2 linked regions of the Drosophila melanogaster genome follow. The protein of the gene in region 1 interacts with the protein of each later gene in a pairwise test. Each region holds a gene or a part of one and is shown on either strand. Other genes may lie near its edges.

Region 1 (6,146 bases):
GACGATTGCCCTCGTCCATCGAGACACACGTTGAGTTTTCCTCGTATATAATGAAAATTGCGGGGGCCCCGACCACTTTGCCCTTTCCTAATTGAGGATGGCCGGTTGGTTTGTGGGGGGCTGTGGGTTGGCGGTTTTTGTGCACTACATCTTTGAGGATCAGACACCCATTTAAAATTGCAAAATTCGTGTTGCCAGTTTTCAGATTTTTGGCAAACTCAAACGTTTTGGGTTAATTATTGCAAATTACATTTAATGACGAGATAAAATGCTGTTGAACCCAATACTTACAGCAAATGTGCTAAACTAAATTATAAATTATTGTGTATTCATTGATGAAACTTAATCGAATCCCACTTAGCTTAGCCCTATATGAACTACCATGACTGTAGTGGAATTCGCCCATGAAAATACTTTTCAGGAATTTCTCGATGTAAATCACTTCAAATAGGGGGCTCTTCCCAAGTGGCTCCCATCCCGGCGAATGACAACTATCCGGGAATAAAAAATAATATTATTACATTTCCAGGCGCCCGCCCAATGTGAAGAATTGGCGAGCGAGCGAGAGGGAGTGAGGAAGAAAGAAAGACAGACAGTCTCGGCTAATTGTTTTCGCTCAGTGAAATGGAATGCCAAACACACAAATAGCCAACAATGTGCAAAACAAGCAAACGGAGACACTCAGCCGGAGGAGAAAAAGAGTGGAGGATCGTGATGGTGTGGATGTGGATGGGCCTATGGATCTTCTCTGGAATGACTTCGCCATGTGTACTTTGTTCACCGCCGATTCCAGCGGAGTGCTGCACTTCTGACAGCATTATTATGCGGTCTCAATTAGGAGATTGCAGAATCTCGGAGTCTGCAGATCAGGAGCAGGATGCGCTATAATGCGCCTGTCTGTCAGTAGCCACAGCCCATTAAGAACGACCAGGAAAGCCATCCACTCACAAAGTATTTAGACTGTGACCCCAGATGATTCGAAGTGGCGACTGAATATTCGCTTGCCAGACAAATGATTTATTTTTAAATACGTTTTCTATTGTAGTTTGCTCTGACGAAAGTGTCGAAAATGCGTTTCGGGAAACTCAACTATGTGGAGATCGGCGCTTAAAAGGATAATGAAATATTCAACCCCAGAAAGTCGTTCAAACATAAATTTCCAAACAAATTAAATTAGTTAATCTGAAAATTATAGTGATTATAACCAATTTATGAGTTATAATCAATTCCGAGCTTATTCATTTTCGATATTTTCCGAATGTTTATTAATTTTTTTCGATATTTACATATATGTACTAAATCGAACCTTATTTTAAATAACTAAATCGCACTTTTTTTCGTAACAAATAATTATTCCCGTTTTTACTCCTCAGCCAATTCTATATTTAAAGCCAAACAAGTTCTTATACAGAAGGGCTACCAATTCACGAAGATCAACAATTTTACCAAGTATTCAAAGATCTAACCAACTGCCAAATTGCTATTCTATTTGGGACTAGTCTTTCTTTTTTATCCTTGGCGCCGATTCCAAATGTGTTATCTATACTGATTATCATCTCGATCCGTTTCCGGATCTTCAGTCAAATCAGTAGTTGGCGGTGGATCCGTTTCCGTATCTGGATCGGATTTCGTAAACTCATCCGGTTCAAGACTGCCCACAAGTCCCAGATCTTGGGTCTCTGGCTCAAATGGATCCCAACACGGAGCCTTCGGTGGTTCATTGATAATCGAATCACGCATGGCACGCATTCCCATCTCAAGGGCGCAGTCCATGGAATTTCTGTCAGGTGGTTCGCGGGTTAGAGGCCCATTGAAATGCACATAAATGTCTCCCTGGGCAGCCAAATCTAGTCCGTAGGTGGTTAGATCCTCACCAAAGACCAGCTGCGTGGCGCCCGGATCCGTTTGCGTAGTCCTCATGGCGGCCAGCAGCCCAATGATCCCAAATTGATCTGACAGCATCGTGGCCGGAATATTAGTGAATTTCCCATCGTCTGTACTACGTATTCCCGCGGCATTTGTGTTCGTTGAGGAGGAGGTAGATGCCACCTCGGGCTCCTGCAACACTGATTCATAAGAGGGCTGACCAAAAAGATCAGCAAACGTGGGCATCGACGGCTGGCGATCGTAGAGTTCCGGGAAGAGTTTGTAATCCGATTCGATTTCAGATTCTACGCTCGAAGTGCTGACGACTTCCGGTGGCTCTTCGCTGGGCGGATCCGGCAAGGGCGGTGGACGTTGTGGCTCTACCTTTTCTGCACTGGGTGCAGTCTCCTGTTTCTTCTTTCTCAGCGCTATCGAGGGATTCACCTTACATCGTGGACGTCGACGCCGTGTCATTTTTTATCTTTTTATCAAAAAATGTCCTTGACTTGTGTCTGTGTTCGAGTGTTGTGGGGGGCTTGGGTGGCAGTTGGGTGGACGGGTGAGTGTGCGTGGATAATCTCGGACTCAGATAGCTTGATTCATAAATCCTTATCTCGAAGCCTATTTGAGAAGCGCCTATCACCGCCTTCCTTTGTGCTACACTACAACAAATTTTGATCTGTTTTGATGAATAATTCAAATGAAAACTGATTGTGATCGCATTGTGTGTGACGAGTAGAGATATTTCTAATGAAATCAATAATCGAAACAATGTTTAATCATTACCGCTTTCGCTAATACATTATGAATATAAATTTAGTTATATGATAATATATACTTATTTTTTTTGAATATGAAGTTAAAAGCTTTAGTTATATTTGCAACTTTATTGTTTCTCCATTACCGTTCCCCTACTTTCTCCCCTCACAAACAAATTGCATGAGTATTCACACTTTGTTAATTAATTAGGTGGTGCGTGCTCTCACCGGAGAACTTTCAACTTTATGCTTGTCATAAATATTTACAACTTCCTTCTGGCCATAAAAATCCTACACAAAGTACCAACTCCAATGAGGAAAAAAGAGACTGCGTCAACGTGAACGAAACAGAAATCATTTTGCTTTACTCCCAACATTTTTAGAAACATTCTATATATAATTGGAGAAATGACTCGGGAGAAGATGAAGTGGTAGATGTGCGTGGGATGGGGTGGAAACTTGTTGTTTGCCGCCCATAAATTGATCAGTTTATTAGATTCTAAGACCCGAAAAATATTTAATTGATTTATGCTCAATGAGTCAAAAGTCAGGCTAAAGTCATAAACTGGATGCCTGGGAACAAAAGGATATAATGAGTTGAACATAAAGGGGATTAGTAGAAAGCGATTTGGAAGTTTGGGAATGACAACCGAAATTAAGTGTATTTATATTATAGGATAGATATAGAAATAATGCACTTTTTATATAAAAGTTCACAAGTATCACATGATGTCGAACGGGTTAATAATATAAATAAATATGATGATAAGTTCAATAAATAACACAAAATGTTTACTTGGGAACTGTCAGTCATTGGTCAGTATCAATAATGAATCTGCCATAAAGTATGTCAAATAACTCAAAATTAATTCCTTTGACAACTGTGCATATACGCAAATACTAACATAAATCAAGTTAAATAGGTTTAAAATTCGGAACTTAACCTGCTTTGCCAAAGTAAAAGCCATTTATTCATGCATTGGTTTGCTATTCAAACACAACAATTCGTTCATTCAGTAGCCACACCTCGGCCATAATTTGTGCTATTTGTGTGGATAGGAAATTAGAACAATCAACTAGACACAAATCCCAACCAAAAAACCAGACAATGAGCAAATTTGTATCTAAATTGTTTATCAATGGATCTGGAGCCCACACCACATCGAGAGCGAACATTCAGATACATTTTATCTGCCATATAAAACGTATACGTATGTATCTGCGAAATACTCTTGTGTGTGGGGTAAGGCAACAAATTAGAAATAAACAAAATCCGTGGATGCGAAGAATTGCAAAAAGGCACAGAGCGAAGATACAAAGATCGAGATACACACTATATAGTACGAGTAGGTATTATGCAGATACAGATACGGATAGTTGGCGCTGCATTAACTAGTACTTACATAACTGCGGTAGGACGACATTACGTTGCTCTTGGCAAGCGATCCTCGATCGCAGATCGGATCAAAATTCGGTCACAATGTATGTTTATCGCCCTTTCAAAATTGGTGTATAATTTATTTTGGTATGGCCTGGGTTTGGTAATCCAATCTGGCAAACACTCGCGCGAGATCGAAACGGAGGAACTCGAACCGCTGACGACAATTACGAAAACGTATCTGCCGGATGCCGACTCTCAATTGCAATAGATGCAAAATAAATTAGATGCACTTACTGAAATCGCGCGCGTGCGACAAATTTCTACGACACTCTCTCTGCATTCCCCTATTTTATTCAATTTTATTTTATTGTATTTATTTCTTTTCTGCTAAGTAAACTATTATTTCCTTTGCTTTTATTTGCGCTGGGCGATACTCCGAGATCGGTATCGGGATCGGCCGTGTGTCACTTTACATAATCCACCGGCACGCACCGGGCAGGTTTGGGATATATACTGTCGATGCCTATAGGGCATACGAGCAGATATAGACTATAGCGCCCCGATCTATTTGGGAATGCAGCCGGCGAATGCGACAGAATCGGACGCGAGGCTCGCGCTTTATTTATGCGTTGATATTTTTCTTATTTTTCTTATTTTTTCCTATTTTCCCATTTTCCATCGCCTGCGTTTTCCGTTTCACGACGACGGACGCGTATCACTTTTGCTTTTATTTCAATTTACTTTGGGAGCAGCACAACTTAAGCTGTTATTTATAAATTTAGCAACATTCACACACTCGCTGAAAGATTGTGTCGCGATTTTTGTTTTTAGTTCTCGGTTCTTTTTGTTGGACCACAGCGAATCCGGCCGAGAGGAAAATCATGTGCGACTCGGCGCGTTGTCAAAGGAAAACTGTCTGGCCGCAGTGAAAATATTTTTGTGCCGAGATTTTCCCTCGCACCGAATTGCGTGAAAAGCTGAGTGGAGGAAAATCTCCGGCGCTCTCGCTTTGAGTATGCGTGTATTTTCGGCAAGCGAGAGATTCGATCGGAGATGAAGCTCTCGGAGATTCTGCCGGCTCTCCTCAGTCGGCGATCGCATTCGTAAATTGCAATCGAGAAACAAATAAATGTTTTAAACATACCCTGAATGAGGGTATCATTATTAGTTCCAGCATAACTTTAAGGATTTCGACAGATCCTTTGTACGGACAATTCATTCCGATTCTCTCTTGAACGGACAAGCATTTTTCTGGGTCGTGCTAAACGGACAAGTAAAATATAAAATATAACAAAACAACCTAATTATTACAATAGAACTAAAAGTAAATTAACGAAATAATATGTATTTCTAAAATTAACTACTTAGAGCATTTGAAATTAAGTTTTACAAGAGTTCGAAATACATTGTGCAACTTTTGGCCACAAAGAAAACCATAGTCATAACAAAGAGCATTTAAGGCTTCGTGTCTTCATTGATTCATCGTTTCTTATTCCCGTGTGTATCTGGTCCCCATATATATCTGACATAAATCGGCCAACCGGCTATATGTGCCAGCTTCTCGATTTCAATTATCGCAATGTAAGGAAATGCGTAAAAATTCTTGTAATGCTAACAAAATGCAACTCTAAAATATTCGACATCTATTTAGGCTGCTTCATTCCGTCGTAGCTATTTCGGTCTATTATAAGTCGAATAATTTTATTTAATTATTTTTGGCATCGCTGACTAATCGATGAGTGGGATACTAATCGAGGGCGGGGAGCATGGGGTATCCAGCAAGTGACACAAAAAGTATGTATGATGCAAACAATAATTGTCACCTACAGATACAGATGTGGTCTGTCATGTTCTCATGAATGAAAGACAGCGAAAGGCAGGCCAAAGATCCCGAGGGTCTACAACCTGAAGAATAATTCCCTTGGATTATTATCTTTAGAATGAAAAACGCGAATGAAAAATTACTCTCAACTTAAGAAATGAACTTTCCTATGAGTTTTATTTAAGATCTTTTGCAATGGAGCCTTTTAATTTCTCCCACCAAATAAGATTCGTTTATATCTGTATTTTCTTAAATCATGAAACACCCTTACTTATTTACTTACCCTCTGCTCCGTGCATTCATTATTCGGTTAATTTGT
Region 2 (7,578 bases), 5.0 Mb from region 1:
AGTCTGCTGGCCCACAAAGTCGATAGGAATCGTAGTGAGTTGTTAACCAGAACAGCGCTGGGCGAAATCTTGGCTAAGAGTAACTGTAACTAGGCTTTTGTGGTCCGCTGTCCGATGTTTTGTGGTTGTTTGAGTTGCTTGTTCCAGTGCACTGACTTTTGGCTCGTTAGCTTCGATTCTGTTTTGAGTCGGCAGTTAGTTAACTTTTTACTTTTTTTTTTATTATTATTTCGGTTTTGTGGATTTGGCGCGCGACTCGCATTAAAAAGGCGGCCAGGCGAAAACTGAAGAGGGCTCAGGAAGTGGCGTGGAAACGGGGGAGGGGTGTGGGGGGTTGAATGTTGAACATTTGTTGCTAAAGGCAGTGCAACAAAAAACACCACAAAAAATATATATAAAAGTCACCCATTTTGTTGAAAACATCACAGCTAACATAGAAAGTACTTTAATCAGATAAGTAAAATAAAATGTATTTTGAATTTCACGAATTTTCTATTTACTATGTATAAAATAACTAATTAAACTCATGTTCATGTGTAACTTTTTCGTCAGAGCGATGAATTCAACATACAACTTATTTTTTATGTCGACAGCATTTGTTTTAATGAACATCCATTGAAACGGGGTGCGAAAGAGACGGCGCCAGAAGAAAGAGAGGCGATTAAATTAGCAAATGCGTTGGCTGCAGCGGCGCGGGGATCAAGGGGGTGGTGGGCAGGGTGCAACATATTGCATATTGCACATTGCACATGTGGAACGACGCGGGCAACTTGCAACGTCAGCAGGCGCATATTAAAAAAAAAATATGAGGAAAAAGCTTCAACAAAGAGCGACTCTCCCCCTCTCGCTCGCTCGCAGTCTCCGTCTCTCTTCCACTCGCCTTGTGGCAAGTTCATTGAACCTCATTTACAGTTCAGTAGTTTAGCGATTTTATTCTCATGAGAAAGAGACGGCAGCAGCGTGGGCTAGAAAGAGATGCACCCACTGAGAGGGAGGCCCGACTTTTATTTTTGGGGCAACTCTGGCTTTGCAAAAAAAAATTTAAAACAAATCTTATAAAAGCACACAATGTTAAAGTATCGCAAAAAAATGTAGATTATTATTTTAATTATTCCTTTATTAAACTAGTATACTTAAATGATCCGAAAGAAGTCAAGAAATGCCTAAATGATAATGGTAATTTTGCAATTTAGTACTAGAAATGTAGTTCAAGTTATGGGAACATCCGGTTTAGGGAGTTTCGCCTGTAAAGCCAAACAATGGGCTGCGAAAAAAAAAAAATCGAAATAAATGTGAGACCAGAAAGGAAAGCGTTGGGAACCAAATAGTAACAAAAACTAATGCGATTTGCGGCAGCAACAAAAAAAAGCCTCTCGGATTCATGGATTTTTCGTTTGAGAGGCGCCGCCGCCAGCCAAAAGCAATCAAATCCAATTAAATGCGAAAAAAAATCCTGAAAAAAACGCACAGATAAAAACGGTGGAAGCAGAACTTTTGTGTACAACAAAAAATATTGTTTATGTAAAAGCAGCAGCGTAAAAAAAACAAAAATATACCAATAACAACTTCCAGCACACGCGACTTTAAACAACAAATTTGTCGAACGCCGCAAGAAAATTTCAATGAACGAAGGAAAGGGGGGCAGAGATGGAGGAAGTACGGAGGCAGCAACAAACAGAAAAGGCAACAAAAACCGAAACAGCAGCAATGGCAAAACCAACAACAATCAGCTCTTTTGACCAGCAGCTGTCGCACAGTGGGATGCACAGTGGGCAATTAGGGGTGGATTAGCTATCAGGTGCAGAAATGGTTTGTTTAAGCTACAGAAAAATTCCTTTTTAAATGCCAATCTGCTAATATTAAATTGGGAAAATATTGCGATTGTGCACAGTAATACCTCCAATTGTCATACAACCCATTCCACTGTGCCCATGCAGCACAGTCCACAAGCACAAGTGTTCGGGGTTGCTGCTAATGGAACGCAATTCACAATTCACTGGGAATTCGCTATCTCTGTCTGCAGCACCCCTCTTTGTCGCTCCCCAGTAGCTCCGTCTCTTTCCGACGTTGCAACGACAATGGCAGCAACAAAAGCAAAACAGCGGCAGACAGCAAAAACCAATGGACAAAAACACAAACAAAACGGTGGACAAGAGTCGTCATCCTCCGCTGTTTTTGTTGTTTCGGCAAAACTTCTTTATCCCGGAGAAGGGAAAGAGATGGGCATATGAAGGGAGAAAGAGAGGGTGACAGAACGTTCGCATAAATTTAAAATTGCGCGCAAACGGCGCCCACAAAGCCAAACACCACAGTATGCAATTATCTAAGGAATTTTTAGTAAACTACATGGTAAACTGACGGGGATTCCAAAAATTTTTTATTTTAGTTGCTCAGCATGGTCACACTGTGCATTTCGGTTGAGTCAGCTGACTATAACAGCTGATGCTCTACAGTAAACAAAGAATTTGGAATCTCGAAAAATGTCCTGTTGTTTATAATTACACAATATTTCAATTTGTGTTTAATAGCTGGGTAATCCCAGAATAAACTAAGTGTAGTTTTTGTCTTGACTTCTTTTCTTATGACAGCCTTAGTTTCAATTAGGCAAGCACCACTGTCCGAAAACAACAAGGAAAGGCAATAAAAGGGAGCAGAGAATGCGTTTTGGGGGTTGCTGGATGCTGCAAAGGGGGGTGCTTCACAAAAGGGCCTGCCACTGCTGTGGGTGTGGGGGGGGGTCGAAAGTCGTCGCAAAGTGGAGTAAACTGAAGTCTGGAGCACAACAAAAAGCAGTAAAGGCGGCGGCAGAGGAAAATCCTAGGAGAGGGTGCGAAATCTCGCAGTATACACACCACTACCAGACTTTTCCTATACACATCTATGTACATACATATACAAATGGGTGGCACAACAAAAAAACGGAAGAAAAGCGAAGGAATCTGTCTAGACAACATTGTAAGTAGATAAAAATATTTGGTCGGAAAAATCGGGCGAGGAAATAATGAAATATGTAATTTCCTACACCGTACACCCATCTCTTTCTTTCCCCGCCTATCACTACTACCACTATCTCTTTCCGGCAGGTAATACCTTTTTTGATAAGGAAGCAATTGTAGCACATTTCTCTGCTATTTTTTTCAATTGCACCATCATTAAAATTGTGTTACGGATAAGATAACACAAGTTGGCGCTATATTTTCTTCACATATTTCCCACTTTTCGTGTGAAAATTCCATTTAGCGAGGCAGCGTGCCCCGTACACGCTGAATGAATTAATTTATTCATATTCAACATATTTATGCATTTGTGTAAACAAAAAGCAGGTGCCCGAAATTACTGTAAAGCGGTTATTGTTTACGCAAATGTTTGAATTAAGGAAAGAGAGAGTGAGACAGGTAACTGCTTATTTTTTTGACTGGTTTATTGTTATTTTCTGTTTATACTATTTTTATGACCGCTCTTTCCGCTTTTTTCAAATTCTTTTGTTATTGATTTCACTTTTCTGGATGGTTTTTTAAATACTTGAGATACAGTGGAGCTTTAAAATGGATAACTATTTATTTAAACTTTCTAGCACTTCAAATGATATGAGCATATGAGTTAATTATCTAAAGTAATTTTTAAAAGTTGTTTTCTAAATTAAATAATATAATGATATGATCAGATAATAGCTTCCTTCTTTACTGAGCGTTCACTGTGATCGAATTCACATGAAAGTATTTTTTTTCTTTGCACCTTGCGTATTTTGTTTTGCATCACCTGTCGCAGCTGATTTTTCATTCACACTATTTGTTTATCTACGATTATTATTTTTTTAGCTGCTCGTTAGCTGGTGAAATTCCCATAGAAAATTCATTAAAACCCAGCAAAGGAATTTTAGTTTTAGTTTCTCAGAGAGAATTCGATTGTTCGCTGGTGTGAGTGTGAGTGTTTTGTATGTGTGTGTTTAGTGTGTGAAGAGAGAAGTTGTAAAACCGGATTTTCCTTTTGGGCGCTTTCGTAGTTTTGTTGCCTTTTGCACTTTGCCTCGATCTTCGATTTTTAATAGCCACTTAAATTCGATATTGGGCTGTTAAAAAGTTACAACAATTTTCCTTTCTGCATTTTCTCTGCTTTTATTTTCTTTTCTCTGCTCTTGCATTTTGCACATCACTTGCTTTGCACTTACACTTGTTGATTATTTAATGTGCAATATTTTTATTGCGTTTACTTGCACTTTTTCGTATTCTTTACTCTTCTCAGCTGCTTTTCACTAATAATTTATTTAAATCAAACTGAAGCACGCACACAGCTGCACGTAGTTACGCACACACACGCACGCATACACTAAAAACGCCAAACGACGCGCCGGAAAAAACAACAAAAAGAACAACAACGAAGAGAGCGGCGAAACAACAAAAATCAAACGTTTCAAAATTCTCTTTCGCTTTGCACCGCGAAATTAAATCAAATCGAAACTTAAAAGATTGCCAATGCGATTTTGACCTAATGTTTATTGTGTTTTTTTTCTATTTCGAAGCGAGCGCGACGCTGTTTTTCCGACTTTACGATCCCCAATTGGCGTTCGATGTGCGTTCGTCTGCTCTCAAAAAAATTGTGACAAAAAATTGTTTATATGCCGCAGTGTGGCCAGCTGCTTAGCGGCCGATAAGGCCGAATTTGCACCGTTTCGCGGCATTTGTCGGCAGCGCGGTCACACTCGAGAAGAGAGCGGCTGGAAATTCAAAATTTAATTTGGCGCCAAACTCGATTTTATATCTATTAATAAATTTCTTGATAACATATCGTATTTACACGTGGCTATATAAACAGCATCGAAATATTATTACAAAGATAATATAGTTGTATCTTTGTTTTTAATCGAAATGGTCAATCTTTTTCAATATGATAAATATTTGGTTAATCATTAAGTCATATAAATCAAATTAATAAACGACGTTGAATCAAGTGACGAGTGAACTTCGTCTGCCTTTCATTTCACATTCACAGCAGTTGATTATAGGAACTCAAATTGAATTAGATTTGCCCATTGATTTGCATTTCGCACCCACAAATTCCGCCACCCGATGATAATTGCCAATTTGGGTGGAAAGCCGCCTCCTCTGGCGAGCTGGAAAATGTCGAAAAACTATTGAAAATCAATTTGCATTCCGCACCAGAAACATCCAAATAATGCGATACTAATTCCCCTCTCGAAAACTTTAATACCTCAAAATCCAATGAGGCAATCGGCAAATGAAAATCTTTTCGAGGGAAGCGAAAGAAAAACAAGAAGCAACCGCACTTCAAAAGCAATTTCACCTTGTTTTTCCAAAAACAAATACACACTGAACCAAAATTCAATTCACTAAACAATGGCGCAAGGCAAATCTCTTTTCGGCCATATATAACTTTTCGGTAAGGAATTTCCCAAACTGCTCTTCAAGAATTTTCACGAGTGGTGGCGTCTCCTATTTTTAGGCCCACTACAAAAACACCCTACAGTGAGCGCTCGGAAAAGTGAACTTTTAGTATAATCTTATATATAATAATATATAGAAGAACTAAATGGTAGATTTTCCCAAATTTTACTTTGAATTTGATAAGGAGTTTGAATTATTTTCTAGTTAGTTATATTAAGTCAAGTAAGTATTTACCTCATATATAGTTACAAATATTTATATACATAGTAAATATGTATATTTATATATGGCAAGTACTATTTTTATAAAACAGGAAACGGAAGTATCTTTCGCTCTAGTTGAAAATATTTAATGAGAGCTAAATATATAAATACGAAAAGGGGGGCATGGCAGGGGGAAAACTCAGCGCTGGAATTTTGTTGTTGCTCCAGAAATGCCGGCAAATGAAAAGCGCAGGTCCGCAAATGAAAAACAGAATGGAAAATTCAAAGAGAGAAAATTTTCAGGGAGAGAGCACAACAATAGCAGTTTGAGAGGCGCCGCAAGTTTGCGAAGCACTGCTTCAAGCAGTGCAATATTTACTGTTTATCGCATGCGAGAAATTTCTCGCCGATGTTTTGTGTGACTCCAAAACTATACGAAGAAAATTAATTTTGTAAATGATCGTTCAAATATATTTACGAACTTAATATTTAAAGAGACAATTTATAAGATTCAAATATTATGTTTAAATGTTTTCATTATTTATGGATAAATAAATTGGAAATCATATTTGCACATTATATTTTTATAAACAAATGGAGTTTGTGCTTAACTCATTTATGGTATCCAACATCTTTGGTAATACTATTTTAAAATAGTATTGTGCTTTTGAGTTCTCCCAACAGTTCAGCGTTTTATTCAATCGTCAAGGAAAGTTTTCCACCCACCGGAATAAAATTCCACTTCATTCCGAGCGAACAATTCGTCTTCAATGTCAGTTTTTCCTCGATTTCCCCGCCCATTTTCCCCGAACTTCTTATCCTTCAGCAAAATTAACTTGAGAATCTTGATAAAAGGGCTGCCATTCATTCATTCAGCAGCTTTGCCGAAAACTGTTCTCAATGCCAGAAGCTGCCAACTTAATTTATATTGTATTTAAAATGCAAAATGCACAGCATTCAACAATGGGCGAGAGCAAAGAAAGTGGGCGCTCTTGGGAAAGTGGGCGGGGCACAGCTGAAAAGCTGCTAAAATTTAACAACTTGACAAATTGAATGTTTGTGGAGTGGGCAAAGCGTAACAGCAAAGAAGGCGCCAAACTGAAACAAAATTTCTATTTTCAATCTAAACACTAAAATTCTATTTTCACTTTTGATTAATTTAAAGCAAATGTTTCTATATCCTTGAGTATTATTCGTGATCAGACTATAAGTTTTGAGCAGTGTAAACACAATCAGCTGCATCTAAACAATAGGAACAGCAATGCAAAGGGCTAAGAAAAATGAGGCTCACATAGCCAAGTAGCCAAGGCAACCCGTTTCTCTGAGGTCTTCGCTGTGGAATTCCTCTTGGAATTTTCTATTTCGGAGCTGCGCAAGGAATCTCTGGCAGTCATAACGATAATTGACAATCTGGCCAACACAAATTAACATTGCCAGAGGTCAAATTGCATTTGCTCAGGGAATTTTTCTGATTGCTTCCGTTTTTATTTTTTATTTTTTTTCTCCAAAAACATCTAGCAAAAAACATACATAGGTAAACAAAAGCGCTATTAAGAATGCAGTGCACGCAGCGCAAAGCGGCCATAAAGACGTTTGGGCCAAATTAAAACGGGCCAGAAACGTAGTAGGAAAAAAAAACAATACTACAGCAAATGAGCAAACGTGCCAGGGTCAAGAGTGACCTCTAACCCACCGCCCACCGCCCCTTTTCGTGGGCCGCCCACCAAAGCCGATAGTGAAGCCAAAAGTCCACTTAGGTTTTACTATAAAAGCCAGGGCTTCTGCGTTTGTTTAATCATATCAGTTTCTGTTCAATCAGCGGATATACCACCAAAATCAATCAATTCAAGATGTTCAAGTTTGTGAGTATTTAAAGGGATATCAAGTAAATACCTATGAAGGATACAAGTATCTGACAAAAGTGAATTCTGAAATAATGCAATCAGAGGTTCTATTAAGCTCCTTTCAAGTCA

Evidence for each region. Proteins that work in one complex are often made in the same cells at the same time.
Region 2: the proteins of CG6576 (region 1) and CG32264 interact in a two-hybrid assay, tested with the Drosophila melanogaster proteins (one large-scale study listed by BioGRID).

The regions. Positions count from the first base shown.
Region 1 is NT_037436.4:8,752,377-8,758,522, reverse strand, and holds CG6576 (uncharacterized protein), read right to left. Parts: upstream 2,535-6,146; 5' UTR 2,341-2,534; coding exon 1,537-2,340; 3' UTR 1,356-1,536; downstream 1-1,355. Other genes in the region: Fhos (formin homology 2 domain containing), read right to left, coding at 4,028-4,048.
Region 2 is NT_037436.4:3,783,389-3,790,966, forward strand, and holds the start of CG32264 (uncharacterized protein), read right to left. Parts: upstream 4,573-7,578; 5' UTR 4,169-4,572; intron 1-4,168. Other genes in the region: CG32266 (uncharacterized protein), read left to right, coding at 7,456-7,467.